Ovis aries: one gene and its partners. The protein of the gene in region 2 interacts with the protein of the main gene of each other region in a pairwise test. Links are inferred from orthologs where the notes say so. Each region holds a gene or a part of one and is shown on either strand. Other genes may lie near its edges. The genes, in order: ZC3H10, NFYA, GTF2A1 and POGZ.

Region 1 (7,792 bases), on a different chromosome or scaffold from region 2:
CAGACAGTACCCTAAGTTGTTGGAAACTGACACATCTTCTCTCCTTTCCATGAATGTAGGCCTCTAAGACTGCAGAGAATGCTACCAGTGGGGAAACTTTAGAAGAGAATGAAGCTGGGGACTGAGGTGGGTCCCGTCCCCCCAGCTTGCCACTCCTGCCTCATCCCCTTCCCGCCACACCCCAGGCTCTGTGAAGTGCAGTTCGACTTCTCCACCCAGGACCGCGAGCAGAGCGGGGTCTCCCTGTCCTCCTCCCAGTCCCCCATCCCAGCCCCTTCCAACAACAACCAGCTCCAACTGACTCTGGTCTTGGGAGGCCAGGCTTCCCAGCCACCGAAGACTACTTTAAATAGAAAAGAGAAATTGAATAATAAAATCAGGAGTCAAAATCCATCGTTTTCAAGCCCCTCTTTCTAGCCTTTTTCTACTATTCTCTGCTTGGTCAAGGTTTATGGCCCTACAACAGAACGGGAGGAGGCTAACACAGCCACCACCACTAAAAACTCAGATGAAATTTTTTTATACCACTCCAGTGTCAGCATTTTCCCATCTGTTTGGGCTTGTTCCTCTCTCTGTTCCCACTTTCCCCAAGTCTTTTATCAGGCCTCAAAATAGAGAGGAGCTATTCAGACTGTTTTTCTTCACATGTGGCAGATTCCTTTTATGATCCAGGCTGTTGAGCCAGGCCCCTCCCATTTTTAGGAGCTGGAGCCTGCATTTACCAATGGATTCTCATCTGTCAGTTGGATCCTCATTTGTAAGTCTTTGTAGTCAGTTTTGTTCTACAGGACAGTTTTTCCTCCCTCCACAAGGCTGTAAAGAAGTAATCCATCTCAACTTTGTCCATTTCTTTGAAGTCAGTGGGGTTCTTCCCTTGCTCCATCTTAGAAACCTGAGCTGGAAGCTCCACTGTGGTTTTGTTCCCTGTTTGAAATACTTTTACTTCCCTTCCTTGAAAGAAAGATGTATAACCAGAGGAGCAGACTGAAGAGACAAAACTCCTGGCTTTCTGAAGCTGTGGACTTGGATTAATTGCTAGGGGTTTGGAGAGAAAGGTGACCTTTCAGTACCTCTGGCATGCTGTCCCAGGGAACTAGGGCTCCCACTAACTTATGAGGTTTTTAAACACATTGAAAATGATATGGCATTAAAATAAATTTGGATTTGCTCATAATCACGTGTCTGTATGCTGCTCTTATTTGATGGTGGAGAGTGAGCTGAAGTGATGATCATCTGGAACCAGTTTTGGGGGGTTTTTTTGGCCTTGCCTCATGCCACGCAGGATCTTGGTTCTCCAACCAAGGATCAAACCTGTACCCCCTGCAGTGAAAGCATGGAATCTAAACCACTGGACTGCCAGGGAAATCCCTGAAACCACTTTTCTATAGCCATATTCTGCTTTTCTAAAATAATAACTTGGGTTGGGGGAAGACATAAAACTCCTGGGTTTTGTGAATTAATGGTCATTTTCTATGGGAGTTTGGTCTAGTTTTCTGAAGTAAAAACATACCCCTTACTGCTGACACTATTTAGAACACAATGTTTATTGCAAAAAAATTAAACTGCAAAGTGATTGTCTTGGCTTAGGAAGCCAGGAAGAATGCCTTTAGTGTTAACGTGATTTTTCAAGCTACCCTGAGATTTGATGGGTAATGCATGTATTAGAGCATTTTTTATATGTTACTGCTGAATTAACTGAATTAAACTGAAACAAACTGAACACAGATCTCTTCCTAAGGGTTTATAGCAATCAACAGGTGAAATCCCAGTGGGTTTGATATCTTGGTGGGGAGGGTGGTTATTTTTGTTTTCAAACACATTACAGTCCATTGGTGACAATTCTAGAGCCACTTAAGAACTTGAAATTTAGAAATCTAATTTTCCAGAACTAAAACGGTGAAATTTTCTAGAGAAAACGCTAAAAAAAGGAATCATAACAAGCCTCATTCCATCTTATAGTGAATAAGGTGAAGTCCGTATGATGAAGGGTTTTCTTTCATCCTTCATAATACACGTTTTCTGCAGCCAAATCTTACAGTGTCTTTTTTGGGTGCTTCTAACCTAACCATATCTTGATACTGGGAAGCTGTCATATCACCAAATACTATTCCTGCCTAAAGATACATGTAGCTGATCGGGCTTTCCTTCTGTCCATTAATTAGATCTGTCGTTAATTTGTTAATGTGACAGGACTGAAGCGACTTACCACACACTCTGAAGAGGGAGAATCACTGAAGTATTTTCTAAACAAGATGCATTGTCGCCAGGAATGTTATGACATTCTGCCTCAGGCATTGTAGGGAAAGACCAGTTGACTAGGAAAAAAGTTTATTTTTCACAGTAACAAAGGTCTCTTTTTGTAGTATAACAGCTTTCTCAATTCCCCGCTTTATATCCTTTCAATGTTCTGCAATCTTAGGACCTTTAGAAGTTCCAAAATCGAACCTGCAGATATTTAGTTTAATAAATAAGGTAAACCAGTAAAACAAATCAGGACTTTTTGTACAGTCCGCCTCAATCCACAGTAAAATGGAGGATGTCTCCAGGAAACTGCAACTCCCATGAAGCAACGGGAGGAAAGGCGGAAGTAGCTACCCTTTGCTCGTTTGCGCCTCTAGGTCTCTTATTGGAAATATGTGCTCATATCTAAATAATACGGTATCCTCATAATAAAACAGGTGAGAGGAATCTTGTACATCAAAATACTGATTTCCAACAGAATTTTCCTAGCCTAATCACTTCACACACCAGCGAACTGCCAAACACTATCGTTACGCCCCTTGGGCAATCCCGCCCCTAGGGGCAGGGCGAGAAAGCGGAAGTGACGACACTGAGTATTCCATTAAATATCCGTAGGCGAGCCCCTGGCGATCTCTCGGCCTTAGCGCCATCTTTTGAGGTGAGTGTCAGTGATGCCTGTGTTCGTGTTCCGACTGCAATCCATAAACATCTGATCTCTGCACTTACCATCATTACAGCAAACTAACTGCAGACTTTTTTTCTTTACCCGTAGAAACCTCTGCGCCATGAGAGCGAAGGTAAGCAGTCCCTGCCAGTGAGCTAAAGCTGTAAGAATTGGCTGTTGGTAGGGGAGACCTTGGCAAGGGAAATCGGCCATCGTTCCGGTTTCGCCGGGTTCTTAGGTTGTGCTAACGAGCTAGTGGGAGAGGAAGGATAGTTTGAGGAGAAGCATATTAAGTGGTGGGTAAGTTCTGTGGGGAAAAGCAGAGTAGGTGGTAGGTAAGTTCTGTGGCGAGAGATGCTGAAAGTGGGAGAGAGCGCATGCAGGCAGGATTCAGGGTTTTACGTCTGGGATCCAGGTGGCAGTCCAGATTGTTGATGTGGTTTATTGCGACTAAGCCCTCCTACTTGATCAAGAATCCACCCGGTTCTAAGTAGTGCTTTTCATGGAAGTTATGAAAGTGTTAGTCGCTCAGTCGTGTCCGACCCTTGCGATCCTGTGGGGTGTAGCCCGCCAGGCTCCTCTGCCCATGGAATTTTCCAAGCAAGAATACTGGAGTGGGTTGCCATTCCCTTTTCCAGGTAGTCTCCCTTACCCAGGGATTGAACCTGAGTCTTCTGCATTGCAGGCAGATTCTTTACCGTCTAAGCCACCGAGGAAGCCTCCCCTAGTGTTCTTCATATCCCTATCTAAACATTGTTACTGAAACTAATGATATTTTATTCTCTGTCCTTGGTTTATAATCGGTTGCCAGTGGAGGAAGAAGCGAATGCGCAGGTATGCTGGGACGTAGGAGGTGGGGCTGGGAGAGTGAAGGAAAGTGGACAAAACTTGGGACGAACATCTGGTTTAGAAATCCAAAACAACTTATGAGCATTGACTGGCCAAAGCCATGAATTGAGCAGAAGACGACAGAATCGTAGTGTTGGTTGATTTTACCTTCCTTTGTATTGGGTGCACATTTAAGATTGGAGGGAAAGACTGAACTCGGGTTTGTGGGACCGAGGTGTATTCTTATGTCTGGTTTTCAGGCTGAAGCGCAAAAGAAGAAAGATGAGGCAGAGGTCCAAGTAAACTTGTACACCTGTGGAAGCCACAGAAGCAGAAACAAGGGAAGCCAGAGGCCAGGGACGCTGATACAAAGTGTGGACTGCATGCCTACTATCTAGAACTTCTCAATGGATCTGGAACATCTATGGCCATTCTGATCGCCTTGACCACCTTTGAGAGACCTACCTTGCTCATATCAAAGCCGTCCCTTTTATTGCCTTGGACCTGTGATAACTATGGACTAGTTCTCTTCTCAGTTGTGGCTGAATGTAACGTGTACAATAAATCATCTCTTGCTGTCTTAGCTGAAGAAAAATTTTGTGTGTTATGTGGTTTTTTATGGTTAAACTAGCTGGGGATTCTCTTATCAGTACAGTCTGTCTCTACTCCCTGTGTTAGAAAAAGTCAAGCTTTATATCTACAAGTCGGGGGGGGCGGAGAGGTGTGGGTTCCGGTCTTGTGAGCTGCTAGAGGATTGGGTGGCCTTTACTTCCTGGAAAGCGCGTAAACGCCAGGGACGGTTTTCAAGTTGATTTCGCGGGCACAGGAGCAACCAGGTCCGCTCTTATCTAGGTCCACGTTACAGAATTCCGCTTTGGGTCAGGTTGCCATGGTGACACGCAAAGCTTGCTGGGAACTTCCTGCTGCTAGTCGCGCAAGTACTTCGCACACCACAGAGTGTGGTTCCGGGTCTGGTAGCTAGAGCGTCATTTCTTCCGCAGGAAGCGGAAGGGCGATAGGGTAGGCGGCTCTTTGTCGAAGCTAGAGGACCGGCAGGCGGCAGCAGCAACTACGGCGGCGGCGGCAGGTGAGGGAGGCGGGAGACTTAGGTGGAGGCCGCGCCCGGAGGGGAGGAGTCGGGGCCGGCCCAGCGGCTGGGTTCGGCCGGGCTACACAAGGCCCCCCAGGACAGAGTTGGCTGTTCCTCACGTCGTAGGGCCGAACCCCTTTTCTGACTGACCCCGCTTCGCGAGCAAACGCCAGCTCCGTGACGTCACACCCTTGCCCATCCCCTCTGCTTGATGTCACCTGGAGTTCCCTTCCCCGCTTCACTTCGTGCTCCCTTAGTGTCCTTTTCATGTGGTCCCCGGCAGAGCTCCGGCGGCACTGCACAGAACCTGCCAGGCCAAAGACTTGCTCCGGGAAACTCCTAGGACTTTTCCCCCCACCCCCAAACTCTGGGTGTTGAGAAGCGTCATAATCACCGCCCCCAAGTCTAACCCGCCATCCCATTGCACTGTCAGTCGCAGCCCTTGCACGGCCCCCTATTCGGAGTTCCTAACCCTGACCCGACTCCGGGCTTTGATCCCTACATTCTCCTTCATCTCGAGAAGCGTCCCTTATCCTTTGTTCACTCAGAGCTGGTTTTCCAACTCTCTTTCCTAGGCCATCCAAATTAGTGCTGTCCCATACTACTCTTCTTACTAGCAGCTTCTCCCCTTGACAGGGGAAGTTCAATTTGAAATCGAAGGAAATCTTGGAATGCCTAGAGCTCTTTCCATTTTGTCAGACTTCATTCTTGCAGCAGCAACCACCCTGTAGTTCTCCATTCTTACCCCTTCTCACACCCAAGTCTCTTGTTTTTCTCCTGCTCAGAACCCAGCAGTGATGTGGAGGTGGAGACCCACAGGAGCCCCGGACTTCACCTGAGCTACCTCAGGTATCACGCAATCCTGGGAAAGTTGGGTGGGGAAGAGATCTGCTTCTGGTGGGACTTGTAACATGGGTCAGGCTTGGATAGATGCCATTTATTATTCAGCAGGTCAGTTCCCTTTTAGTAAAAGTTTGTATCTTTTCTTTTCCCACTCTCTTCCTTGATTGCTTTTACTATTCTGGGACTACCTCCCGTTGGAGGAAGAGGACCTCTTTCACAGATTCTTTTGCAACTCTGGCCTGTGATCCAGTCGGTATATTTTCGGGATCATTTTGCCTTGAAAGCAAAGTCAAGGCAACAGACTGGGTGGTTGGGGGCATCAAGGCCAAAGAAGTTGTAAAGATTCCCTTATACTCAAGGGGAAACAATATGAAGTTTTCCTATTTGAACAGCAGGGGGAGCCTGAACACTGCTGAGGAAAGGCTTAGGAGGTCAGACACGTGGTAGCAGGGACTCCTAGTCTTGTTGGGGGTGGGGAAAGGAGAGGGTTAGAACCAGGGCAGTGGACTGACATTCCTGAGATCTCTTGGGAAAGAGGAGACTTAAAAAGCTTTTATAGCGTCTATAAATAAAGAAGATCTTCTTGGAGTGAGGAATGGTGTGGTTTGATGTCAGTGAGATCTTTCCATGGAGGGTAGGAGGGGTATAGAGTGAAGAAAAACAGGTTACTTGTTCCTGTGAAATTAACACCTTTCTATTGCCTTGATCTTGCCACAAATGGTTTTGTTCTTTGGGGGTCTATAAGTGGAGATTCTAGCTGTTGAACTCTGCCCCTGAAATGGAGAGAAGGGGGCTGACCATCCTAGAGTTGAGAATAGTGGTAATCTGGGAGAGAACTCCAAAAAATGACAAATTTAGATATTGCCCTCAAGGTGGTGATACCAGTCTCTTTACTCAGGACTTCCTGGGGTCTAGATATCTGTTTCTTCACAGAGTCCTCGCCTGACATCCCATGGAAGAGGGGGTCAGGGAGGCAATGTCACCAGTATCCCATTATCCATTGCCATTAGTAGCTCACCAGCTTATCTTAGCCAGAGTTCTAGTCTCCTCTTAACCTGATCAGACACTGACAGCAGTTTTAATTTTGCTTCCACAAATTTAATAAAGTCAGTTCAGGAGGGGAAATAAAATCCAACACTAATCTCTCCCGCCCTCTGCCTCTTTGGCATGTCATGGTTATATGAGGTGGCTTCACCCCAACTCTCTTCTGCTCCATCAGCCAGGCAAGTGTGAATCATTCTGACACAGACCAGGAGCACAGGGCCTGGGCAGGACTTCTGATAAGCCAGCCAGTCCAGGCAGAGTGCTCATCCGATAGCTTCTCCATCTCCAATACCATTGTCCCTCTGGCCTGCCTCTTGTTGGATTGCCTGATAGTCAGGAAAAGTTTGGCCTTCCTGGAGGACTCCAGTGTTGACACAGTTCTTCTCTTTCCTAGCGGTCACCAAGAGTGGCAAGAAAAGGAAGAAAGCCCTGAGTTGGGAGGGACCAGGATGCCTGACCGGGACAGCTATGCCAACGGCACTGGGAGCAGCAGTGGAGGCCCTGGAGGTGGTGGCAGCGAGGAGGCCAGTGGGACAGGGGCAGGCAGTGGTGGGGCCAGCTCAGATGCCATCTGTAGAGACTTCCTGAGGAATGTGTGCAAGCGAGGGAAGCGTTGCCGCTATCGCCATCCAGACATGAGTGAGGTGTCCAACTTGGGAGTAAGCAAAAACGAGTTCATCTTCTGCCATGACTTCCAGAACAAGGAGTGTAGCCGCCCCAACTGCCGATTTATCCATGGCTCCAAGGAGGATGAGGATGGCTATAAAAAGACAGGAGAGCTGCCCCCTCGGCTGAGGCAGAAAGTGGCAGCCGGCCTAGGCCTGTCACCAGCTGACCTACCAAATGGGAAGGAGGAGGTCCCAATTTGCCGTGACTTTCTCAAGGGTGACTGCCAGAGAGGAGCCAAGTGCAAGTTCCGTCACCTGCAACGGGATTTTGAGTTTGATGCTCGGGGTGGAGGCGGCACTGGTGGTGGGGGTTCAACAGGCCCCGTTCCCCCAGGACGACGTCATGATCTCTATGATATTTACGACCTCCCTGACAGGGGCTTTGAGGACCATGAACCAGGCCCCAAGCGCCGG
Region 2 (7,463 bases):
CCTATAAAAGCACAGAAAGAAACTGGTAGCATTCCAAACAAGACTCGTAGTCACCGTAGTCACAGCATCCCCACTTTGTGTGCTACCCAAACCAAGCTTGTAGTGAGTTGGCTCTAAGTCATCCAGCAGCATCACCAAGAAGCTGCACTCCTTCACAGGTCAAAGGCCACTGGGACAGTGGAAGAAATCCACATGGAGGAAGCAAGCAGGAGAGGAGCAGAGTATTACCTGGCACTGCATTTGGTAAGGAAGAATGAGAGAAAAACTCTTTTGAGCAATCCGTCTCTTGAGACTTTATTGTCTCTATTTCACTACGACAATGAAGGAATGAAAGCAAGGGAAGCATCCCTAACTTTCGCACATCATATAACAGGGCTTTGGTAAATATCACAACTTTTTCCCACGGAGTTGGGATGCAGCCGCACGTTTCTAATGCAGGGCACCAAATCGCCACCAGCCCTGGGTCTGAGTGAGCACGAGGCCAGCTTTGGGGCATTTTTGATGGTCTATAAGGACACACTGTGAGCGACACAACGCAGCGCAGCCCATCTGTTTGCTGAGACTTGACGCTCACTGAGAACTGGCCCCGTCTTACCAGGTGATATATGTATCGTCCATCTCTCTTCAGAACAGCCACTTCTCCAGACTTTTTCTCTAAGAAAAACAGTTATTTAATAGTAAAAAAGAAACACCAAAACACTGATCTTCACTCTTAGATTTTTAAAAGATCTTCATAGATCTAAGTCTACTTCAGAAGTAGGATTAATTTTCAACTCTGAAGAACCCTTTGATCCTTATCAGCCTTCCTAAATACCATACACCTTAACTTCCAGTTTTCCTACTGTTTTAGGAAATCACGTTGTTTTCAATCACATTTTCTTCACACTCCATCTTCAATCCTGCTACATTTTCAAATAGCCTTTCTTGTTCTCTTAAAAAATGTTAATGTCTACTGCCTTGAAATGTTTTAGAATGTACAGCATTTTTCACTTGCCAAATGTGTATTTAATAATTTAGTAATTATATTTTTACATACAAACAGCTAATGTGTTAAGCATTATGGGGGAACATAGGTGTATTAACATTAAAAAGTTAATTATTTAACAGTTTCCAGTCAGGAGAACTATGTAGTGTTTTGAAACAAATATAACACAAAGCAGTTAAGAAGTTGCTTTCTTTAGGCTAGGAGCGGAATCACCAGTGGCAACTTGATTCAGTAAGCCTGGACTGTGGTCTAAGCAACTGTTTTCAGAAGCTCCACCTCTGATTCTAGTACACTTTTCTGCTTTACAATCACTGGGAGCAAGCAACAGGAAGTGTTTGTAAGGAAAAGTTCTAAACTCTGAAGCATAAGCACAGTATGGGCAAACAGAGAATCCTGAATGCCAGGCTAAAAACTGTGGATTTTGCTAAGCATGCCAGAGTTATTAAAGGCTTCAGACAAATGGAGTAATATTATTAAGAAAGATTTATGAAATACGGAGAAATTTAAAACTTTTACAAGAACTCAGGTTTCGTGGGCCAACCCAAACTAGAGACCATCTCTGAAGAGGAAAAACTTAATCTGCAGAGTTAAAAGGACTCGGTAGTTAGGAACCCCATCTGTGCATATATATCTTGTTTAAATTATTAAGCTTAAAAGGAGCATCAAAAGATGGTCTGGTCAGGGCATGTGAGTTCAGGTGCTTTCAAAACTCACGTTGATTCAACAGTTCCTGCACTCCTCCAAATTTCTTCTTGAAGAGGACAGCTATCCCAGCGCCCATTCGACAGTCCTCACTGATACAATGCACTAAAGAGTCTGTCTGGGGGCACGCAAATAGGTCTCCTTTCACATAAGTAATCTAAAATGTGCAAAGAGAAAGAAAACTTTTGTTACATATAGAAAAATACTAAGCTACTTCTTTTCCTTTACTGTGCCCACCACCACCACTACCTCTCCCCGCCTCGTCCCTCCTTCATTTAAGAGACAAGTGTTCAGAATTTAATGAGTTATCTAAAGCGAATTAAAGCATGTGCAAAGTAATGAGTGGGCTTGCCTAAGATTGTATCAGCCTTTCTAAAATAAATCAACAGAAGAGGAAAATAAGACAATTCAATTACTAGCTTAATTAAAAATGTGTGTGCTTTGACCTCAATCATTCTGAATTTCGGTTCACCAGTAAGTTAATAGTTGTTACGCACTCGGCTTCCTTCTGAATCTTCATTAGGGCTGCCAGCCATGATACTGGGTCACTATTTCCAGAACTTAAGTGTTTCTTCAGCTATAAAAAGGGAGTAAAAATGCTTAGGCAGCCCAAATATATTACATTCAGACTGCCCTGCCCACCCACGTTCGAACTCTTCCCCCCACCGTTTATCACTGAGTGTGACTTCTCTAGAAAGGAACGCAAAAATCCTCGGGGCAAGGAGAGGAATAATGCCTGGGTTCGGAGGCGGCCGTGACCCGATTGCATTTCGCGCTTTGCAGGAGAGGAAGAAAGGCAGTCCTAAGACCCGCCTCCTCCTTTCCCCGCGCCCGCGCCGAGCAAGGCTGATTTAGGACAGTCTTTTCTCTGAAAGATGCAGGAGTACTTCCCCATTGGGTCTAGCCCAGGGACAAAAAGGTGGGACTTGGCCACAGTCCCGTTAAGTCGCCAACTAGAGAGTGTACCGGTCAGGCGGTGTGTACTGCCAAGGCGCGAGCAGGGGTGAGAGGGAAGGTGGCCCCTTAAGGAAGACTCACCCCCATCTTTTTGCCGGGGGGCGGGGGGCGGGAACTGGGGGAAGAAGTAGAGAGAGGCCTCCCATTCTCCGTCTCCTACCCTAGGGCTGATCAGCCAGGGCGTAGGGCCTGTCCTGGGATCCCGTGGGAGGAAGCGAGGAGGCTTGCTCAAAGACCCAACGTACCGCCGTTACCCTTCACCTGGAAAGGAGTTGGCCGTTACGAGGTCCCGCCCCGCGGGGAAGGGCTCTGGTAGGTGGGTAACAGCGGACGAGCCCACGATGCGAAGCCAATCCCACCACAGCCTTTAATTGCGCGCACCAAAGATGGCCGCCCACCATCCGGGAGCCGGGCGGAAACGGGCCCCTCTAGCTAGCCAGCCGAACCTGCACTCTTTGGTGATGGCCGCCGAACTTCCGGCGGTGAAGCCCGACCGCCGCTGCCGCCCGGGCATGCGTAACGAGACAGCCGAATGCAAGTTCGGTAGAGCGGCGCCTGCGCATTAAGTCCCAAGGGGTGTGTCTCCAGGGGCCGCAAAGAAGAGGGAGGGCAGTTAGCAAAGGAGTTACTTAGCGCCTGCGTGCTGCTAATATTCAAGGCTCTGTTTGAGTGGAAGGGTCTGGCGCGCCTAGAAGACGCCTGCGTATTCCTTCGGCCGGGTGGGAGCCAATCAGGAAAGTGGGCGTGGCTAAGGCATACGCCTGCGCAGTGCTGCTTCTGCGGGGGTGGGGCGAGCCCAGAGCTCGGGGTAGGGGGCGTGGCCTAAGAGGCGCCTGCGCGGAGGCAGTTGGAGGGAGGCCCGATTCCCCTTTGTTCGACTTCGCCATTTTGCGAGGCAGCGGCAGTGGCGGCGGCAGCGGCGGCTGGAGCCTCTGATTGGGTTTCGGGGTCCGGTACTGGAGCCAATCAGCGCGGGCAGCGAACCGGGGGAGCGAGGCACGGTGAGTGTGAGGAGCCAATATCCAGCGGCCCAGAGCCGGCCCCAGCGCCCCGATTGGCGGGTCTCGCTGACCACTCAGGAGAGGCCCAGGCGCCTGTCGAGCCCCGGGAGTCGAGCTGAGTCTAGCCGAGCGGGGCGACCTGCTGCCCCGGACCAGAGCCTGCGAAGCTCTCCGGGGCACTCCCCACCGAGGCCTGCAGGGGGCCGCCCCGCGAGGGGATGGCGCCCTCGGGAGCAGGCATCTCGGGGCCCATACCCGCGCAGGGTGCCAGGGCCAGTTGGGGATGCGTCGCTGTTCTCCCCGACCCTTTGGCCCAGTTTCTCGGGCCCCAGACCCGGGGGTGTGGGGTTTGCCTTTCACAAGGCCCCTACGTTCAGGTATACACCCACTCGGGCCTAGGCAGTTTCCTCCTGGTCTTTCTGGCCTCACAACTTAAACCTGCCCTTGCACTCAACACGCGGCGGCCCCCGGGACGGAAAGTCTCCCCCCGCGGGTCCCGCGCACCCCTCCCCTCCGTGAGCGGGTCTGTCCTGTCTGCAGCTCTCCTAGGTGGGGAAGGAGAACCGGGGAAGACGCGCGCCGTGGCCACCGGGCCCCGCGTGCAGCGCGGACGGGGCCCGACCCGCCCCCGCGTCGACACTCTGAGGGCCCGCCCTCGCCGTCCCTCTGCAGGGGGGGTAGGGGGAGGGGAAGGGGTTCGTTAGTGCGCCCCCTTCTCGGACCCCGCTGCGCCCCTCCTCCTAGCGCACTCCCGGGTCTCCGGTCCCGGCGCCGTTACCACCCCCTTTTGGCTCGTCATTTCCTCTCTTCCCCGCCCCGATCGCCGGGCAGAACCGCACACCTCCGTCCTGGAGCCCATCCAGGCGGTGTCCCTTCCTTGCCCGGGCTGTAAGCCCCTGTCCATTCGGTGCCTGGAACCTCGCTCTTGGAAGATTGCGAGCTCTGTGCATTCCTTTCCCCCGAGGCTGCACAATTTGCTTTCATTAATCTTAATCTGTTGTTGCTCATTTCGTGGATTCTCGCTCCCTTAGGAATGTAGTTTCTTTTCCTTTCACCTTTCTGTGTCACTTCGAACATGTCAGACTTCACTCATTAGCTTGGTTCACAGCCATCTCTTGGTTTGTTTTTTGTTTCCCAGTATGTTGACGTTTTCTTGGGTATTTATAGAAACTTAACAGTCTTCTGGGGTTTTCATTAGGGTGAAAGGAAATCTCCTTTGACAGCCAAGTATCTAACAGTTAGTATGAACCAGGCGTCCATCTGCTGGGGGGAGAGTGATTAGAGGTCGATGAGAAGCCTGGTGGAGATTGACAGGTGAACAGGTAATTCATATCTCAGGGTTAGTGCTGTAACGGGGCCAAGTTCAGTTCTGTGATGTGTGAGCTAACGACAGCCTCGGTGGAAGGCCAGCATTGCCACACTTTTAATTGGCCTTGAAGGATAATGGGGTTTCTTTGGGCAGGAAAGAACGGAAGAGCATTGCTCACAAAGAGAAGAGCATGTGCTGAGGCACCAAACTGCTGTGTTCAGGGGAAGAAGAAAACGTTGGGCAGTGGGCATTTGTGACAGTTCAGTAGGTTGGGAAACGCAGTTGGTAAAACCACTTGTATATTTTGCTAAAGGATTTTTCAGAAGCAGTTATTTTGTGGAAATTTCAGAAGTCTGGAAGCACGTTTTTTTTTTTCCAAGTTTGGAAAAATAAGTTACTGGCTTATGAGATTCTGCTCCACAATAACAGCTGACTTTGGAGGGGAGGAAGGGAGATTTTTCTCCTAGGACTTTAGAATTTTTCATTCAGGTGTACTATTTTTCACAGTACAGCAGTCCTTGTTACATACAGTCAGCTTTTAGTATATGATGCCTATTTTTATAATCACATTTACTGAAGTCATAACTGGTAAGTTTCAGAAAGCTACACTAGTGCTCTTTCCACTACTAAAAAATTGGGGACACTTGTTTTCATTTTTGCCATGAATTTTTTATTGTTGAACACATTTTAAAAATTGATTTGTGAAATATCTGATAGATGGGGCAGTGTGATTTAGATATTTTTTAAGAACGTTTACATTTGCCTTTGGAGAGGATAAATACCTTGGGACTTAAAGATGGTAGTATGTGTCACTTTAAAATCAGCAAACATTTTTGCTAGACTTCTTTCTAATAGACAGTTATTGTCCGGTCATATTATTGCTAAACCCCTCTAGAAACCCTACCTATTTGCAAAAGAACTTCCTTGCCTGGAATTTTGAGTACAGTAATCTGACCTTTAGCTTTCTCTTGATGTGTGGCCTTTTAGCCTGCTGTTTTATATGTGGAAATTTTTCTCTTTGTTTTTATGCTATGACTTCATTTGGAGCACTCCATTCCCTTCCACTTCGACATGTGTAAATCCTACTTGTGCTTAAGACCAGGTCAGATGCCACATTTTTTCTAAAGACTTCATGACTGTCCCCAGTTTCTGTCCTTCACACTCTTTTGTTTTTTTCCTTTAGGGTTTGGGTATAGATTTTTACTCCTTTACTAAATTTAAAGACTTTGAAGTTAAAAACTTATAGTTTTCGTGTTATTTCTAAAACCTTCAAGACAGTGTTTGACAGGTGGTCCATCATTAGTGGGGATTATGCAAATTAGCTGCAATCCAGAAACCTTTTGGATGATGGGGATACAGGACAATTCTTTGTTCTCTAGTCTTCTATCAAACATAGATCAGGACCTGTTTGTTAAGTTGTGAAGTCAATTTAGTGGGCCAATGCTGGTAGTTTTTTACAGTAGGATAGAGAATACCACCATTCATCTTAAGTTATACTTACAAAGATCAGTTATGAAACTTTGTTACTTTTTAAAATACGTTCTCAGTGCATTTGTGATACGAAATGTGTTTCTTACTGTGAGCTGTCAAAAAGTTTTAGAAACTGCTCTTCTAGTCTTTGCCTGGTAGTGATGATCAAATATGATAATTCTGCAGGGTTTTTCACTTGTTTATTGAGGTTGAGTTTCTGGTTGGGTTAAATCGTGTGTTGGTCCAAAACAAATGGATTTCTACGTAGTTAGCTGCATTTCAGGTTCTGTACCTTGAAGTGAGGAGGAAGAGATTTTCTTGCTAACCAGAATAAACATATGTTCTTTCTGTCTTTGAGGAAAAGACATTCAAACTTTGAGGTAGGAGCAAGAACTAGACAGGCTAAATCCGGCTCACTTAATTCTGTCAGAATGTGGGCAGAAAAGCACTTCAGGAAAGACGACGTCAGATTATATTGCAGTTCTGCTAACTGAAGCTCACAGTAATGGGAACACATGGCTTCATAGAAGCTGGTGGCAACCGTTCATCACCATTGGCAGTCTAAATATCATCCTCCAAGCTGAATCACTCCTTCATTAATATATGACAGGAAATTGCTGTTAAACTTGAAACCCCTTCTGTTTTGACCCATCAGTATAGTGGATTTAAATGTTTTTAAGTTGTAGTATTTGTATGACGAGGATAAATTAGTTAAAACCTGGATGACATTTTATCAGTCATTTCTCTGCACTTCCAGTATGATGTAAATTTCTGGAAATTAGGGGTCAAGGAAAAAAATCTCACACAGGAAGGGGACTGAAGGTGGAGTGGGTTGTTAAAATACAGAGGACATTCCTTCCTGATCTTGTTTTATTAATCAACTCTTTAATCATTTTAAGTGTATGTTTTAATGGATTTTGATAAATTTATACACAAATGCAACCACCACCATAATGAAAAAATAAGACATTTTATCACCCCAGAAAGTTCCAGATGCTCTATCCCAGTCAACTTCCCTCTTCCCCCTTTTCCATTTCCA
Region 3 (6,992 bases), on a different chromosome or scaffold from region 2:
CCCTCTGAGTCTTATTTTTTGATCTATAAAATGTGATCAGAGCTACTGCTTCTTGGCAGTATGCTGGGCTAGAAATTCTGAGGGATTCTCCTACTCTCACAGAAACATCTAGCTTCTGGACAAAACATAAAATAAATGTATTTTAGGGCTCTGTAGAAATGACATTGGGGAACAGAGCTTTCCCCAAGGTCAATAGACAGAACAGTAGATCACTGTTCAACAAGTATTCATATAGAACCAGAGAATATTTAGAGTGGTGGTTCTCAATCGGCGTGGTTTTGCCCCTTCTGCCTGGGGGACATCTGGCAATGTCTGGAAGTACTTTTGGTTGTTAGAACTAAGGGGTGCTACTGGCATCTAGTGGGCAGAGATCAGTTATGCTGCTAAATTCCAACAATAAATAGCCTTCTACAGCAAATAATTAACAGGTCCAAAATGTCAGCAGTCCCAAGGATGAGAGAACAGATGTAGGGGAAGATTAACTACTTCAGGTTTGTTTCCAATTGAGGAATTCTTCTCACTTTGTTCTGCTAAGAAAAGGGTCCGTGTTTTCTCTCTCCCACAGTACTTGGACAGGGATGGGTCTGACAGTTTAGAATCAGGATAATTTTTTCACTTTCTTTGAAGATTTCTAGACTGTCATTCCCACCTGCAGTCATTCACCAACCTAAAACCCAATTTACATTCAAATACAGATTTAATGAAACTCCAGTGGTGATCATTTTGAAATGTATAGAAATCCTGAGTCACTATGTTGTAGACCTAGAACTAATAGTGTTGTAGATCAACTACACTTCAACTAGAAAAGAAAGAAAGAAAATCAACACTACATTTCATGTGTCTTTTCTATCTCCTATAATTTATACATTAAAGGAGACCCATACTGTTAACAACCTCAGGAATCAGGTTGAATTTTTTAATGCAGGAGGTCCCTTCCTGTATTATCTAGCTAAACTTCAAATTACAGGCACTCTCATTACTCATCTTAATTTACAATCTAATACACCACTGTATCCTTCACAGCTGCATGGAAGTTTTTGATAAAAGTTTGTCAAATACCATAAAAGGGTGAGAAAGAGGACAGAGCTAATGACAAGTTCTTTATAAACCATAGAATATGAAACATTGTTAGTTTTCATTAGCAAGAATATTCAAACCTAAGAGGTCCAATACAGTAGCTGTATGTGATGGTTTAAAGTGATATTAATTGTAACTAAATAAACTTCAGTTCTTCAGTTCCACTAACCATATTTCAAGTGCTTTAATAGCCACATGTGGCCAGTGATTACTATACTGGAGAGCAAAGATTATAGACTATTTGCATCATCACAGAAAGTTCTACTGGGTAATGCTGGCTGTCAAAACTGTTAAAACTAGGGCACATTCTGTAAACTCTAATGAGATCTGGAAGAAATTTAGTGCAAAGAATTAAAATAATGCAAACTCATTTCAGCCTAACAGTTTTATATTTAAGTTCAGCTACAACCCAGAATAGAAGAGTATGTCCCATTTAAAAAGCAACAAAAACATTACAATACTTTTTTCAGTTAGATTCTGGAGCAACATTTGTTATTAAGTTGCTTAAGTAAATATTTACTGAATGCCAATCACATACACCAAGCATTGTGGTAGAGGCTTGGAATTCAAAATAAGGCAATTTTTGTCATATTAAGCTAAGCACTAAACAAACAAAAAGTCAGTGCATAACCTATAGAGCATAGATATATATATATACTACTTTTATAATATACGTACATATATCTGCAAGTATGTGTGCACATATATGTAAAATCCTATGTACTAAAAATGTAGGTGGAGCTATTTGGTCTCAAAGAGTTCATTCTGTTTGAAGATAACGCCTTGATCCTAACTGGGACCAGTAGCAAAATATCAATCCCAGACTGTGAAAAGCTAGAGCAGATAACAACTTGGATTGACCACTAGTTTGACCAAGGGTAAATTAAAGCCTTTGGGACTAATTTTCTACACCTAAAAATGCTGTATCTTCCACATAAGGTCACAGAACTACATCATCTTAAGGGTTATAAGATAATTTGTAAAATATTCATTCCAAAAAACACTAAGAAATCAAAATAAGTGTATATTCTTCTTATTCATATCCCTGAGATACTTAATGTGTTTGAGCAATTTCCATTGCTATTCTTCCAACTCATATCTCAAAGTTGGCAGTCTTATATTTTTAGATACCTACTCTTCACTGGCAGTAACCATCACATTTCTCCTAAGGTAAATAAATGTTTCCTCGTCCCATTCAAACCTGTATTTTCCCTCCCTCACATGGGGAGACTTTTAATGAAAACCCTACAGAAGCTGCCTACAGATGCTGCAATATTCTAAGATATATTCTAAGATATATTCATCACCACAATACAAGTGAGATTTGCTTTATTTAAATTTATAAGTTGCTAAATTGCAGCCTCCACACTTCTGTTGAATGGATAAATAAGACCACAACAAGTGCTACATAGCATTCACTAACTGTGATTTCTTATTTATACATAGCTCTAAAGGAGTTCAATTTCCAGTCTCTAAGCCAGCAGTTTTAAAACTCTTTGGTCTCAGGCTCCTTTATCATTTTCACAAATTAATGAGGACCTCAATGAGCTTTAAAAATAAAAAATTATTTATTTACTCGGCTGCACTGGGTCTAAGTTGCTGCACATGAGATATTCCACCCTGTTGTGGAACGTGCACTCTTCAATCGCTGCACGTGAACACTTAGCTGCCGCATGTGGGACCTAGTTCCCTGACCAGGGATCAAACCCCGGCCTCCTGCATTGAAAGCATGGAGTCTTAGCCACTGGACCACCAAGCAAGTCCCTCAATGAGCTTTTACAAAATTTTAAATAAGATTTTAAAAAAACTTTTACTTACTTAAAAGTAACATGTATCCATTATATGTTAACATAAATACTTTCAATGAAAATAACCATGTCTTCCAAATAAAATTTAGTGAGAAATGGCTTAAAGGAAAATAGTTGGATTCTCTCATCTGCTGCATTCACTTTGTTTTCACTGACGTATATTAAGAAAATCTGTCTTCCCACAGCTAAGTAGCTGGGAAAGGAAGAAGTATTTTAAGTAATGGTTTCTTAAAGGTTAGCTGCAATGTACTATGTGAGACCACATACTAATTAACTTTTCATATTCTTAGATTAAAATCCATTCATTTATCTTTAACTTTGAAGGGATTTTGCAACATCATGCATTGGTCATTTGGAAAATGCGAGTCCAGTGTAGTATGCAGATAGGCCGATGTTAACACATCTCACTACAGAATATCAAACAATTGAATATCTTAATATCAACGATCTTATCTCAACCTTAAAAGTAAGCATATTTTTAAGTCAGTGCATCAAAATATGAAGCATGCATAATGCACTTCTGCTGCATATGGAGCAGTTATCTCAAGGAACAGCACTTGTTCATTTGAGTTTCAAGTTTAACTGGTCACTTTTTTCATGTAATACAACTTTTACTGGAAATGTGAGAGACATACTGTGATTATTCAGACTTGGGCACTGCTCCACCTCACTGACCCCTTGGAAGAGCCTGTGGGAAAGTCCACGGACCATATTTTGAGAATCACAGTTCTGAGCAGTAAGGTAAAAATACTCCTTGATTTCACGACTCTTAGAGCAATAAGAAAACACAAACATAAAATAAAAATATCTGTATTTTTCTGCTTAAATCCACATAAATCTAAGAGACAGAAAAGGAGCTCCCAAACTAGGATATATGATAAACCAAATACTTGGCCCATAGAGAAAATCCGACTCCAGAATGTGAAACTGATCAAGCACTTGCTCAATCTCTACAGCATACACATTTTAGAATATCCAGACATTGAGACAAAAAAAAGGAAAACAAAACCTTATAGGAATGTAAATATGAAGTTATTAGACCATAAATGAAACTGCCCACTAATAACAGCTAATACTATCGCCAGGCACTGTGCTAAACACTTCAGATAGTTATTACATTTAATCCTCAAAACAAACCTAAAAGGTAAGTACTATGAACTCCCATCTGACATATACGGAAACTGAAATATAAGTGGTTTGCCTAAGGTCAGAGGAAGAATGTATGGTAGAACTGGTATTCAAAACAAGCACCCTTCACTAATTACACCGCTTCCTGCAACAAAGTCAAATGGTCATCATATGAAAAAATAATGGGAGTATAGTTTTTCAATGAAGAGTGTTAAAAAAGAAAAAAACAAGGCAAACTCACAGTTTTTAGTTCCATCAGAACTTGTTCATCGACTCCATCATCCAAAAAGATGTCTCTCACATCATTAATAACATCTTCGATCACAGATCTGTATAGTTTAGGCTTTAAAGGGAAAATAAAAATTTAAGATTGTTGAAAAAGACTGTTTCTCACATTTTAAAATAGGTATAGTGTTGTAAAGTAAAATAAAGTTTAAAAAAAAAAGGTAACATGTTTTTACAAATTCAAAACAAATTAACACAATAGTCATTTTTCTAACTCTCTAAAACTTATTTTAGAAGATGTAAGTTTAAAGGAATGGTCATTGTAAAAAGATCATTTGCCTTAGTTAAACTGAATGACTTGATGACTGCATATTGTAACAAAAGTTTTATGACTATTTAATACAATTCATATTTAACAGAGAAGATCACTACACATAGAAGGCCCACACAATTTTCAGTTATAATTTCTATGTTGTTACAGTCAAAACAGTCAATGGGACCCAACAATACAGTATTACTGGTTGCTATGTCTGGTTTTTATTATTCCTTGCTTAGTTTAACCGGTTATATCTCCTAACCTCATCTCCCTCTTAAGAGTTCAGAGTCTTATGTTCTGTGATCATTTGCCTGGCAGTAATTTGAAAGTTAATGAGTATTCACATTTAAAATCACCTGATTTTGGCTTTTGTTACCCAGTCTGTACCTTTAAATTATACCATAAAGCCTTTCCTATAACCACAATAACAGGTCTCAGTCTCAGAGGAACAAGGCACAATGATCTCTTTTCCAGGATTTCTCTCCTACTACTGCCCAGAGAAGGAAATGGCAACCCACTCCAGTATTCTTGTCTGGGAAATCCCATGGATAGAGGAGCCTGGTGGGTTCATGAGGTCTCAAAGAGTCGGACATGACTGAGAGACTAAAACCAAAGAGCTGCCCAGATGACGCTATGGAACAGAATACTGAGCAGCTTTGATACTTATTTTTTAACCTATTATTATAACTGTTATTGTTGGCATTACTGGTGGGGGGGGGGGGGCGGGAGCTTTCAGAAGGTTGCCAAAAATAAAATGAGAATAGATGTGAAAGCACTTCAAAAGTATATAAAGTATTTTTAAAAAACCAAAAAGTAAGAGACAGAACAATTTGCCCAACCCATATCCTATTTTTAAGATGTTGGACAAAAGGAAGATTGCTGTCAGAGTTACCTTGTTATAAATTCTATCCATTATCACACAAAGCTATTAACAGCCTTTTTCTTTTAATGCTTTGTCATTATTTGAGCTTTATATCTTGCTTAAGGTAAAAGTTACTGCTACCCAATAAAACCAAAGGTTTGCTCTTATAAACAAACCTCAAATAGAAAAGTTTTATTAGCATCTCCATCAGCAATACTGTTATCACAGGGGAAATCTCTTAATGTGTCTTTGTCCAGCCAAAAATACAAGTATGTTCCTCTATATAACTTACCTCAACCATTAAAATCTATTTGTTCCCTTTCAATGCAACAGAAAAACAATGTATCTGAGTTCTCACCTTTGCTGTTCCACTTACTCTCTATTTTGCCAAATCTGTCTCTGTGAACTAAAATTATTCAAGTGACTTCTGCCATCTCTACAATATCTCCTTAAAATGTCTGATTCTATAAACAAGGGAAGTCTGCCTATGGATATTACTTGATCTATAGTGATTCAACTACTGAATTACAAAAATACATTTATAAAGTTTTTTTAACCAATGATTCAAAGCATTATAAAGATGCAGTGTAATTTTAAATTGGTAGTATAAATGTCATATTGACGATATAAATTAATTTTTCAGCAAAATAATTGTAATGTTTCTGAAGTTAGTCATCCCTAAATATTCTGCTTGGATATCTGCACATTTATTGGTACAATGTGCCTTCTTCTGGCACTCCCTAGTTAATGAAACGATCCTGCTTTAATATTTTGTTTTTCTGCTTTAATTAACCCACAACCTGACCACTTAATGCATTTGTATGCACTATAGTTAAAGGGAAATGTGTATTCATCATTAAGTACACAGAGAATTTTAAATTGTTCAGGAGTTAAAAAGCACCCAAATTACTGCTGTCTTTCAGAGTATGCGAGTACATAGGCAATATCTGAAAAAAGCAATTTCCAAATTATTATTTAAAACACTAAACTTTACTTGAACCAGTTTCTGCCTTTTATGGAATACACAGTAATTGAGGTTTGTCCTGGTTTTCAAATACCAGATATTCCAAACTCGTGAATTAAAGGGCCATTAGCGTCATTAAGTAACAAAGAATTTCTTTCAAAAGTGTTAGTTCCTAGTACAATACTGGAAAATAAATTGGATTAATTTCTACACGGGATACCATATGAACATGCAATGCAGCAAAAACAGTCTACTTAGAACTTTAATTTTTTAATACCCAGTTTGCACTAAGCCTCTTCACATTACTCACAATTCCCCTAACAATTACTGTACTGTAGACATAAGACTCTACGTCGAAGGTTTAGGCACTTCTCTATTTCTTTGAAAAGGTGTGTGTCTCAAACATTTATTACAGGAAAACATGATGAAATATTAGCAGCTGTATTTCTAATATGTCCTGAATGCTCGGTGAAAAAAATACTACCAAAATCAAACCCTCTACAGCTGGAAGCTAAAGCTTAAAAAAAAAAATAATAACTGACAATAATGCATGTACCTTCTTAAATACAGAAACGATTAGACATCTGAGCTTAAAATTGTTTTTAAAAACAA
Region 4 (6,992 bases), on a different chromosome or scaffold from region 2:
CTAGAAATATTTCCTTTATCATATAAGGGATTTCTAGTTTTGTTGAAGAGACAAGAGAACAAGACTATGTATTTATTATAAATACAGACATTGGATGATATGAATGATCGGTAGAATAGTTCAGAGAAGGGAAAAGATCCTTATGGCTGGATTTCACAGAATAGGTAATGTATAAACTTGGTCTTAAATACAAGAAGGATTTAGGTGGATGGAAAACAGTAAGAAAAGATTTTATGTGATGGGGAACAGCATGAGCAAACATGTAGAGAGAAAAATATGCATAATATAGATGCTTTTGCTGCAGATTAAAAATCTTAACTAAAAATGGATTAAACATTAAAGACATCTATGATTAGATCCTTTAACTGAGAAGACTTAAGGTGGAGTAAGCTTCAAGCCCAGAACTTAAGTCTTTACTTTTCAACAATTTTCTTGTCTCTGGCTTTCTAGCAGAAAAGCTATGTTAATCTCAGGAATTCGTTCAAATGTAAGATTGTGCAGATGAAAAAGAGGCCATGTCTTCCTGTGTCTTTCCTAGGTCTGTTCCTTGTAAGGCAGAATTGTTTTCCGTTTATATCTCTTTGGCTGTGATCATATTGTTAAGGGAAGTAGGATTGTCATGAGTGGCCCAGATGAGTGCTTATCAACAGAAAATATAATGAGCTGTGTATGTAATTTTAATTTTTTTAGTAGTCATTTGAAATAAAAATATTTTAAGGTGAAATTAACTTTAATAGTATATTTTATTTAATTCAAAATAGCCAAGATAATCTTAGTATATAATCAAAATTTTTTAATTAATAAACAAATTTTAAATTATTCTTTTTTTTTTAATCTAGTGTGTACACCAGAGCAAATAGTCTCAATTTGAGCTCATCCCATTTCATATGTCACTAGCTATGTGTATACTGGTGGTTCCTATAGAAGGCAGTGGAACTTTGGACTAACAGTTAGTGGGTGGAGTAGATAATGGTTTCAACCATCATAACACCACATGCAGCAGAGTAGCAACTTGGTCTAAGTTAGGTCCCACGTTCTTCACTGTCAGTGATGGAAAGTCCAAATTACTCATCTGAATCTCCCAGCGAAAACATCTGCTTTTATACAGATCTGGTGGTGTGTGGTAGTCCACTTACATATTGTACTATACATAACAAGATAAGTTCTTCCTAATGGGAAAAAACAAAGTGGACAGTGCAGAACCTCATCAGTCTTTTCCTTTTCGTTTACCACGGTTTTATCCTTGACTTTTAATTTTTTGAGTATTTTATGACTTCGGTTTATACTGATGAAAAACCCAGACATTGTTGATCCGAACACAGGTAAATGCCTTTTCTGTGCTTTAGTATATATCAATTTTACTCTTGGATTCTTTTATAACTCCCTTTTTTTTGCATCTGTGGCAGATCCTTCATGAAAGTAGCTCATTTTTTCATGTTAACATCTTGAGATCATTGTTTTTAGTTTTGAAATTTTTTTTTTTATTTTCTGAAGTGTTTTTAAATTATAGACATAATGACGTTTCACTCCTAAATACTTCATTATATATCTCTGAAAAGTAAGGACATTTAAAATACATAGGCATTCCCGTCCTCATCAGAAAAGATGGCCTTTTTCCACCTACACCTCTCAACGTGGGGCCAAGAGGTAAGAGAGCTGACGTTTACTGAAGAGTTAAAACCCACTGCAGATCTCATGACTCTACATGGACCGCAATCAGGAATCTTAGGGAACACTTAGGATGGGTCCCTGAAGAATGCGGGTTCTGAAGGGTGATGGGAAGAGACACACTTGGTTATTCATGTGAGCAAATGCATAACTACCCTACTCTGAAACAGGTAGATGGCTCTGCATACGTAAAATCATTCTTGTACAACCCACGGAGCAGACGCCATGGGAGACACCCAGGGAGAGTGGGACTTTTGTCACAAACTGAGGCCAGGTGCGACAAGAGTCCAGTGGTCTTCCTGGGGTTCATGCCCTGAGCAACCAGATCTGTGTTCAAGCTACGGGTTCTAATGGAAGTCATACTTTGTGATAACTACAAGTTTAAACAAGTATAAACTTGATCAGTCCAGCTGATACAGTTAACACTTTAGTAAACGTCATTTCCAGCCTGAAAGAAAGAAACAAAAAACATAGCCATAGTATCTTTATCAAGACCTAACAGAATTAATCATAAATCTTCAACATCATCTGTCTTCATTTTCAAGTTTCCTGAATTGTCTCCAGAACATCAGTGGGTTATTGTGTTTAAACTTGTTTAAGGGCAATAGATGAAGGAAGAGGTAAGGTTGAGGGATAGATGCTTTCTTGTGTTCACATGTCAGGAGGATTCTTTGTGAAGAAAGACTCGGGAAAGGGAGAACCCCTTGTTTAGTAAAGTCATGGTATATATACATGGAATGATGAGATTGGATGAACCTTAGAAAGGCAAAAAGGATCTGTTCTTCCAAGTTTGGAAAGCAGGAAGCAGAGTCTATAGTATTTCACACCTGTTTTCTCAAAGCAAGAGACTGAGGTAGGTGTTAAGGAGGTGAGGGTGACAGTGCTGGGAGGGACAGTGTTAGGATGGCCACTTTGGAAAATCAGTCAAGTTTCCCTCTTGAATCTTCTTCAAATCAACTCCTTCCCCTTAGAACAGGTGTGAAAGGTTATTAGAGATCCCTTAAATCCATTGATGGCTTTGATTCCTTTCTCACTGATTTTCTGTGTATGAGATAATCCATATAAATCTTAGGATATTGTTTATGCATTAGAAATTATTTAATAAATGTTACTATTGATATTATGAGGCAGTTGTAACAATAGAGCTGATTTAGGAAAAGGCTTGGACAGAAGGCTGGGAAATACCAGTGCTTTAAAGTGTTCTAGAAAAGAAAAAAAGAAGCTAAGCAAAGTGAATTGAGAAGTAAAGGGCAGGAAAACAGGAGAAAAGATTGTCATGCCACTAGTTACAGTATCCCAAACATGTCATGCAGTTCCATGCCTTTGCTCAAGTTCTTCTCTTGTCTTCTCTGTCTGGCAAATCACTATTCTTTCAAGGTTCAACTTACGTGATCAACTTTTCCTCATTCTAGGCAGAATTTTTTATTTATCTGGTTCTCATACCTGATGTACTTCTGGGAAGTGGTTCTAAATGGGTTGCAGATGCCTTTGAGAATCGACACAAAACTTCCCCCCAAAATAAACATTTCACTCTTTGCAGATAATTTCAGGGGATACCTGGGTTCCTTGGACCCCGTATTAAAAACCCCTGGTTTTTGTTCATTTGTTTTATTTCAGCTTCACTCATTTGGGAGTGGTGGGCAGGGGTTAGACAGTAAATAAGCGCTTAGCACTTCCAATTTACAATTTTTGTGTTCACAAAAACTTGAAAATAATTTTAGTAATGTTAAGAAAAATACAAATAACTGTCTTTATTTTGCCTGTATAATTCACAGTATGTAGCAATTAAAATATTTGCCAAAAATTTAGAATTGCAGCCTTACATAGACATTTGATAAAATGGCTAATTTTAAAGTTTAATTATCTCAGTTTATTAGCAATAACTCATAAGAAGGCAAGAAATTCTGTTCATGTTGTCAGTCTTTGAAGGACAAATCCATATTTGTAGATGGTAAACTATTCCTGTGTAAATGTCTTGTAGAGAGTTCAAAATCTAGAAAGGAGCTTTGGTGAAGACATCTGAGCTAGAGACAGAAGGATACTTTTTATCAGCAACACAACTGTTGACAACCATTTTAAAGAAAAGAAGAGACCCCATAAGTTACTAATACTATTGCAAATGAAGATACAGGAGTCAGAAAGTAAAGATTATGAATCAGCAGGATTTTGGTCATATTTTCGAGTGTATTTACCGATTGTTTTTCTTCTCACAGCCAAGTGCAAGATCTGTGAGTGGGCATTTGAGAGCGAGCCACTGTTTCTCCAGCATATGAAGGACACTCATAAGCCTGGAGAGATGCCTTATGTTTGCCAGGTACGGCCTTCTCCTTAGGGAGCTTTGCTTGGTCTTTTGCTCTCGGGCTGAATGTGAAGATTCCACTAATGAACACTGCCCAGTATCTATTGCACATACTCAGTTTAAGGAACACTGAGGAAATACAAAAGAAATACTGAACCCAGGTTCTATTTTCAGGGTTCTTCATGCAGGAGAAAAACATAAAGGATATATGCATGTACCCAGCTGAGGAACCCAGTCTTGGAACACAATGCCTGTAGTAAGGGAGTGTCTGGGACTTCCCCGTTGGCCCAGTGGCTAGGATTCTGCACTCCCAGTGCAGGGGTCTGGGTTTGATTCCTGTTCAGGGAACTGGATCCCACATGCAGTTCTAGACCCAGTGCAGCCAAATAAATACGTAGTTTTTTAAAAGTGAGGGAGTGTCTGTCCCCTGAATGTTTCCTGTGGAGATAGGAAAAAATCTGCTCCTCTTAGCGAGAATTTGGACTTTTCAGACTTTCCTGTCCTTCCCATTTTTACTATATTTCACGGCTGAATTCATGATCACAAACATAACTCTGCATTACAAATTCAGAAAAATAACTTGATTTCTGTACATTTAGGAGAAATTTTCTTTCTATGTTAACACTTTGTTGCTACCCCTTTTCTAAGGCCTCAGTTGTTCACTTCACTTGTAGCTTATTTCCCTTATGTGGTTCAGGTGTGCCAGTACCGCTCCTCACTCTACTCTGAGGTGGACGTCCACTTTCGGATGATCCATGAAGATACTCGGCACCTGCTCTGCCCTTACTGCTTGAAGGTCTTCAAAAATGGCAGTGCGTTCCAGCAGCATTACATGAGGCACCAGGTACCAGACACCAAGCAATTGCCCTGCTTAATTATGGGTGCTGGGGCCAGATCTGAGCGAGGCAAATAATTTTGGTGGAGAAGATTATATGTGTGAGTTTGAAAAATGTATTGAATTCCAGTAATATGTACCAGGCACTGGGCTAGATGCTGGAGATTTAGTGGTTAAACGGGACAGTTAAATAGTACAATAAAGCAGGAGCAATGTTGTGTTAGGGGAAATACAGAATATAAAAAAGAACATAACCTGCTCTGGGAACCTAGAAAGTCTTCCAGGAAAAGTGTTGTTCAAGACCTGAAGGATGAGGAAGGATGAGCCAGGTGAAGTGGACTAGAAGGACAGCATGCTCAGAGGCACAGGGAGGCTCAAGGAATTGAAAGTTCAGTGTGGTTGGAGTGTGTAGGGTATGGGGGAGGTTGGAGGTTAGAGAACATATCATGGAGAATCTTAGAGCCATAAAAAGGAGTCTCCAGAGCTTTGCTGGCGCTTCACTGTTTAAGACTGCACTCTCAGATGCAGGGCCCAGGTTCGATTCTTGGTCAGGGAACTAAGATCCCCCATGCCTCACGGCATGACCAGTAAACAAACCTGTGGCTTTAACTGACCAAAAAATAAAATAGTTTAAAAAATAAAAAGGCGCTTCATCTTTTATTATAAAAAGTTGGGAGAAGCCTGAGGAAAACTGCCAAGAGGAACTTCGGGACATGACTAGTAAAATACCAGGTGGTATCCTGGATGGGAACCTAGAACCAAAAAAGAGAGTGTATGTAAAAACTAAGCAAATCAACATAAAATACAGACTTCTGTTAATTAAAACAAAAGTTGATGTTGGGAAGCCATTGAAGAGATTTTCAAATCCTGGAGTGATGTGTTCACATTTGCTTTTAGTTATGATTACACTGGCTGCTCCAAGAGTTAGGGAGACAAGCCAAAGGCTTTTTCAGTAGTTTACCTGAGAGATGATAGTGGCTATTGGCTTTTGAAATGAAGAGGATTAGAGTTGCAAGATACTGAGAAGATAAGTGCTATCTGTAATTTAGAGATGGATTAGGTGAAGGTAGTGAGGAAGTAGTTAAGAATAGTGCCCAGGATTCTGTCTTGGGTAATTGGATGAATGGGGAGACTATACTGAGATAGGAACACTGGAGAAAGTAACTTTTGAGGGGAGGATTCTGTTTGGATGGATATTCTGAGTTGGCAGTATCTATGGACATCAAGTGTAATTGAGTACTAAATAGTTGGATATATAGGTCTGAGGCCTGAATTGTGAAAGATACTTAGAAATCATCATTATATAAATCCAGTAGATTTAAACTTGAAAGTGCGAAGCTTCACCCCCACCCCCAAACCCCCAAATTGAGAATAAGGTGAAAGACCATTGAGTTCTCTCTCTACAAAGCCAGGGCCATAGTCCTGGGATGAAAATCCAAAGAGTCGTGATGTCGAGGAAGAGGCGGGGACAAAAGCATTTTGAAGGAAAATGTGTGGTCAAATGTTGCAAGAAGGTATCAGCAAGATAGAAACGTGAGAGGCCAGCCTTTAATTTAGCCATTTCGTTGGTCAGCAGGGTAGAAGCCAGATTTCAGTGGGACGGATGAATGAGAGGTAAGGAATGGAGAGAACTTACTTAAAGAAAGTTATGAAGGGCAGGACCAGGGGTGGCAGACGCAGGGAAGGAGGAGCAAGGGAGAAGTTGCTGCTGCTGCTGTGTTTTGGTTTGAAGATGGAATATATAAGCCTTGGTTTTAAAATGCTGCAGGAAAGGAGCCCCTAGAGGAGGCGAGTGAAGGTACATAGAGAGGGACCAAAACAGAGAACAAGATGGGTGCACCAGTGGGTGACATCCACGTGTGTGCACGCGTGCCCTGGCTTCTCGCTTGTAAGCACCTTCTTAGGTTCACACATAGTGACTGCTGTAATCCCCCACTGGTGTATTTCCATATACTAGCATAGGAACTGCCACCTGTAGCTGATGTTACAGAGCCTTCGCTGTCCTAGGAAGGAATCGTAGACGTGTCCTGTTTCGATACTGGGCAGACTGAATCCTCAAAATGGCCTTTCAGGGAGGCATATCTGTGTTGATGTGTTAAAAGGGAAAAAAAAAACAGCACTGTGTAGGAAAGTACTTTTTGTTTGTTTGTTTGTTAAAAAAGAGAAAGGAAAACAGGGGTGGTGAATGGA

What was found.
Region 1: the proteins of NFYA (region 2) and ZC3H10 interact in binary tests that used the Homo sapiens proteins (3 or more experiments, as listed by UniProt). The two-hybrid records come from large-scale screens. The link is inferred for Ovis aries from reciprocal best matches to the Homo sapiens genes NFYA and ZC3H10.
Region 3: the proteins of NFYA (region 2) and GTF2A1 interact in binary tests that used the Homo sapiens proteins (3 or more experiments, as listed by UniProt). The two-hybrid records come from large-scale screens. The link is inferred for Ovis aries from reciprocal best matches to the Homo sapiens genes NFYA and GTF2A1.
Region 4: the proteins of NFYA (region 2) and POGZ interact in binary tests that used the Homo sapiens proteins (3 or more experiments, as listed by UniProt). The two-hybrid records come from large-scale screens. The link is inferred for Ovis aries from reciprocal best matches to the Homo sapiens genes NFYA and POGZ.

What each region holds. Positions count from the first base shown.
Region 1 is NC_056056.1:163,419,314-163,427,105, reverse strand, and holds the start of ZC3H10 (zinc finger CCCH domain-containing protein 10), read left to right. Parts: upstream 1-2,872; 5' UTR 2,873-2,899; exon of another isoform or gene 2,900-3,013; 5' UTR 3,014-3,038; intron 3,039-3,716; exon of another isoform or gene 3,717-3,886; intron 3,887-3,993; 5' UTR 3,994-4,820; intron 4,821-5,608; 5' UTR 5,609-5,672; exon of another isoform or gene 5,673-7,104; 5' UTR 7,105-7,159; coding exon 7,160-7,792. Other genes in the region: PA2G4 (proliferation-associated protein 2G4), read left to right, coding at 60-125. UniProt on the Homo sapiens protein: Specific regulator of miRNA biogenesis. Binds, via the C3H1-type zinc finger domains, to the binding motif 5'-GCAGCGC-3' on microRNA pri-MIR143 and negatively regulates the processing to mature microRNA.
Region 2 is NC_056073.1:15,032,335-15,039,797, forward strand, and holds the start of NFYA (nuclear transcription factor Y subunit alpha), read left to right. Parts: upstream 1-3,529; 5' UTR 3,530-3,645; intron 3,646-7,463. Other genes in the region: ADP-ribose glycohydrolase OARD1, read right to left, coding at 119-654, 1,700-1,844, 2,185-2,223. UniProt on the Homo sapiens protein: Component of the sequence-specific heterotrimeric transcription factor (NF-Y) which specifically recognizes a 5'-CCAAT-3' box motif found in the promoters of its target genes.
Region 3 is NC_056060.1:90,685,983-90,692,974, forward strand, and holds part of GTF2A1 (transcription initiation factor IIA subunit 1), read right to left. Parts: intron 4,357-6,992; coding exon 4,255-4,356; intron 1-4,254. UniProt on the Homo sapiens protein: TFIIA is a component of the transcription machinery of RNA polymerase II and plays an important role in transcriptional activation. TFIIA in a complex with TBP mediates transcriptional activity.
Region 4 is NC_056054.1:101,346,782-101,353,773, reverse strand, and holds part of POGZ (pogo transposable element with ZNF domain), read left to right. Parts: intron 1-3,881; coding exon 3,882-3,982; intron 3,983-4,664; coding exon 4,665-4,811; intron 4,812-6,992. UniProt on the Homo sapiens protein: Plays a role in mitotic cell cycle progression and is involved in kinetochore assembly and mitotic sister chromatid cohesion.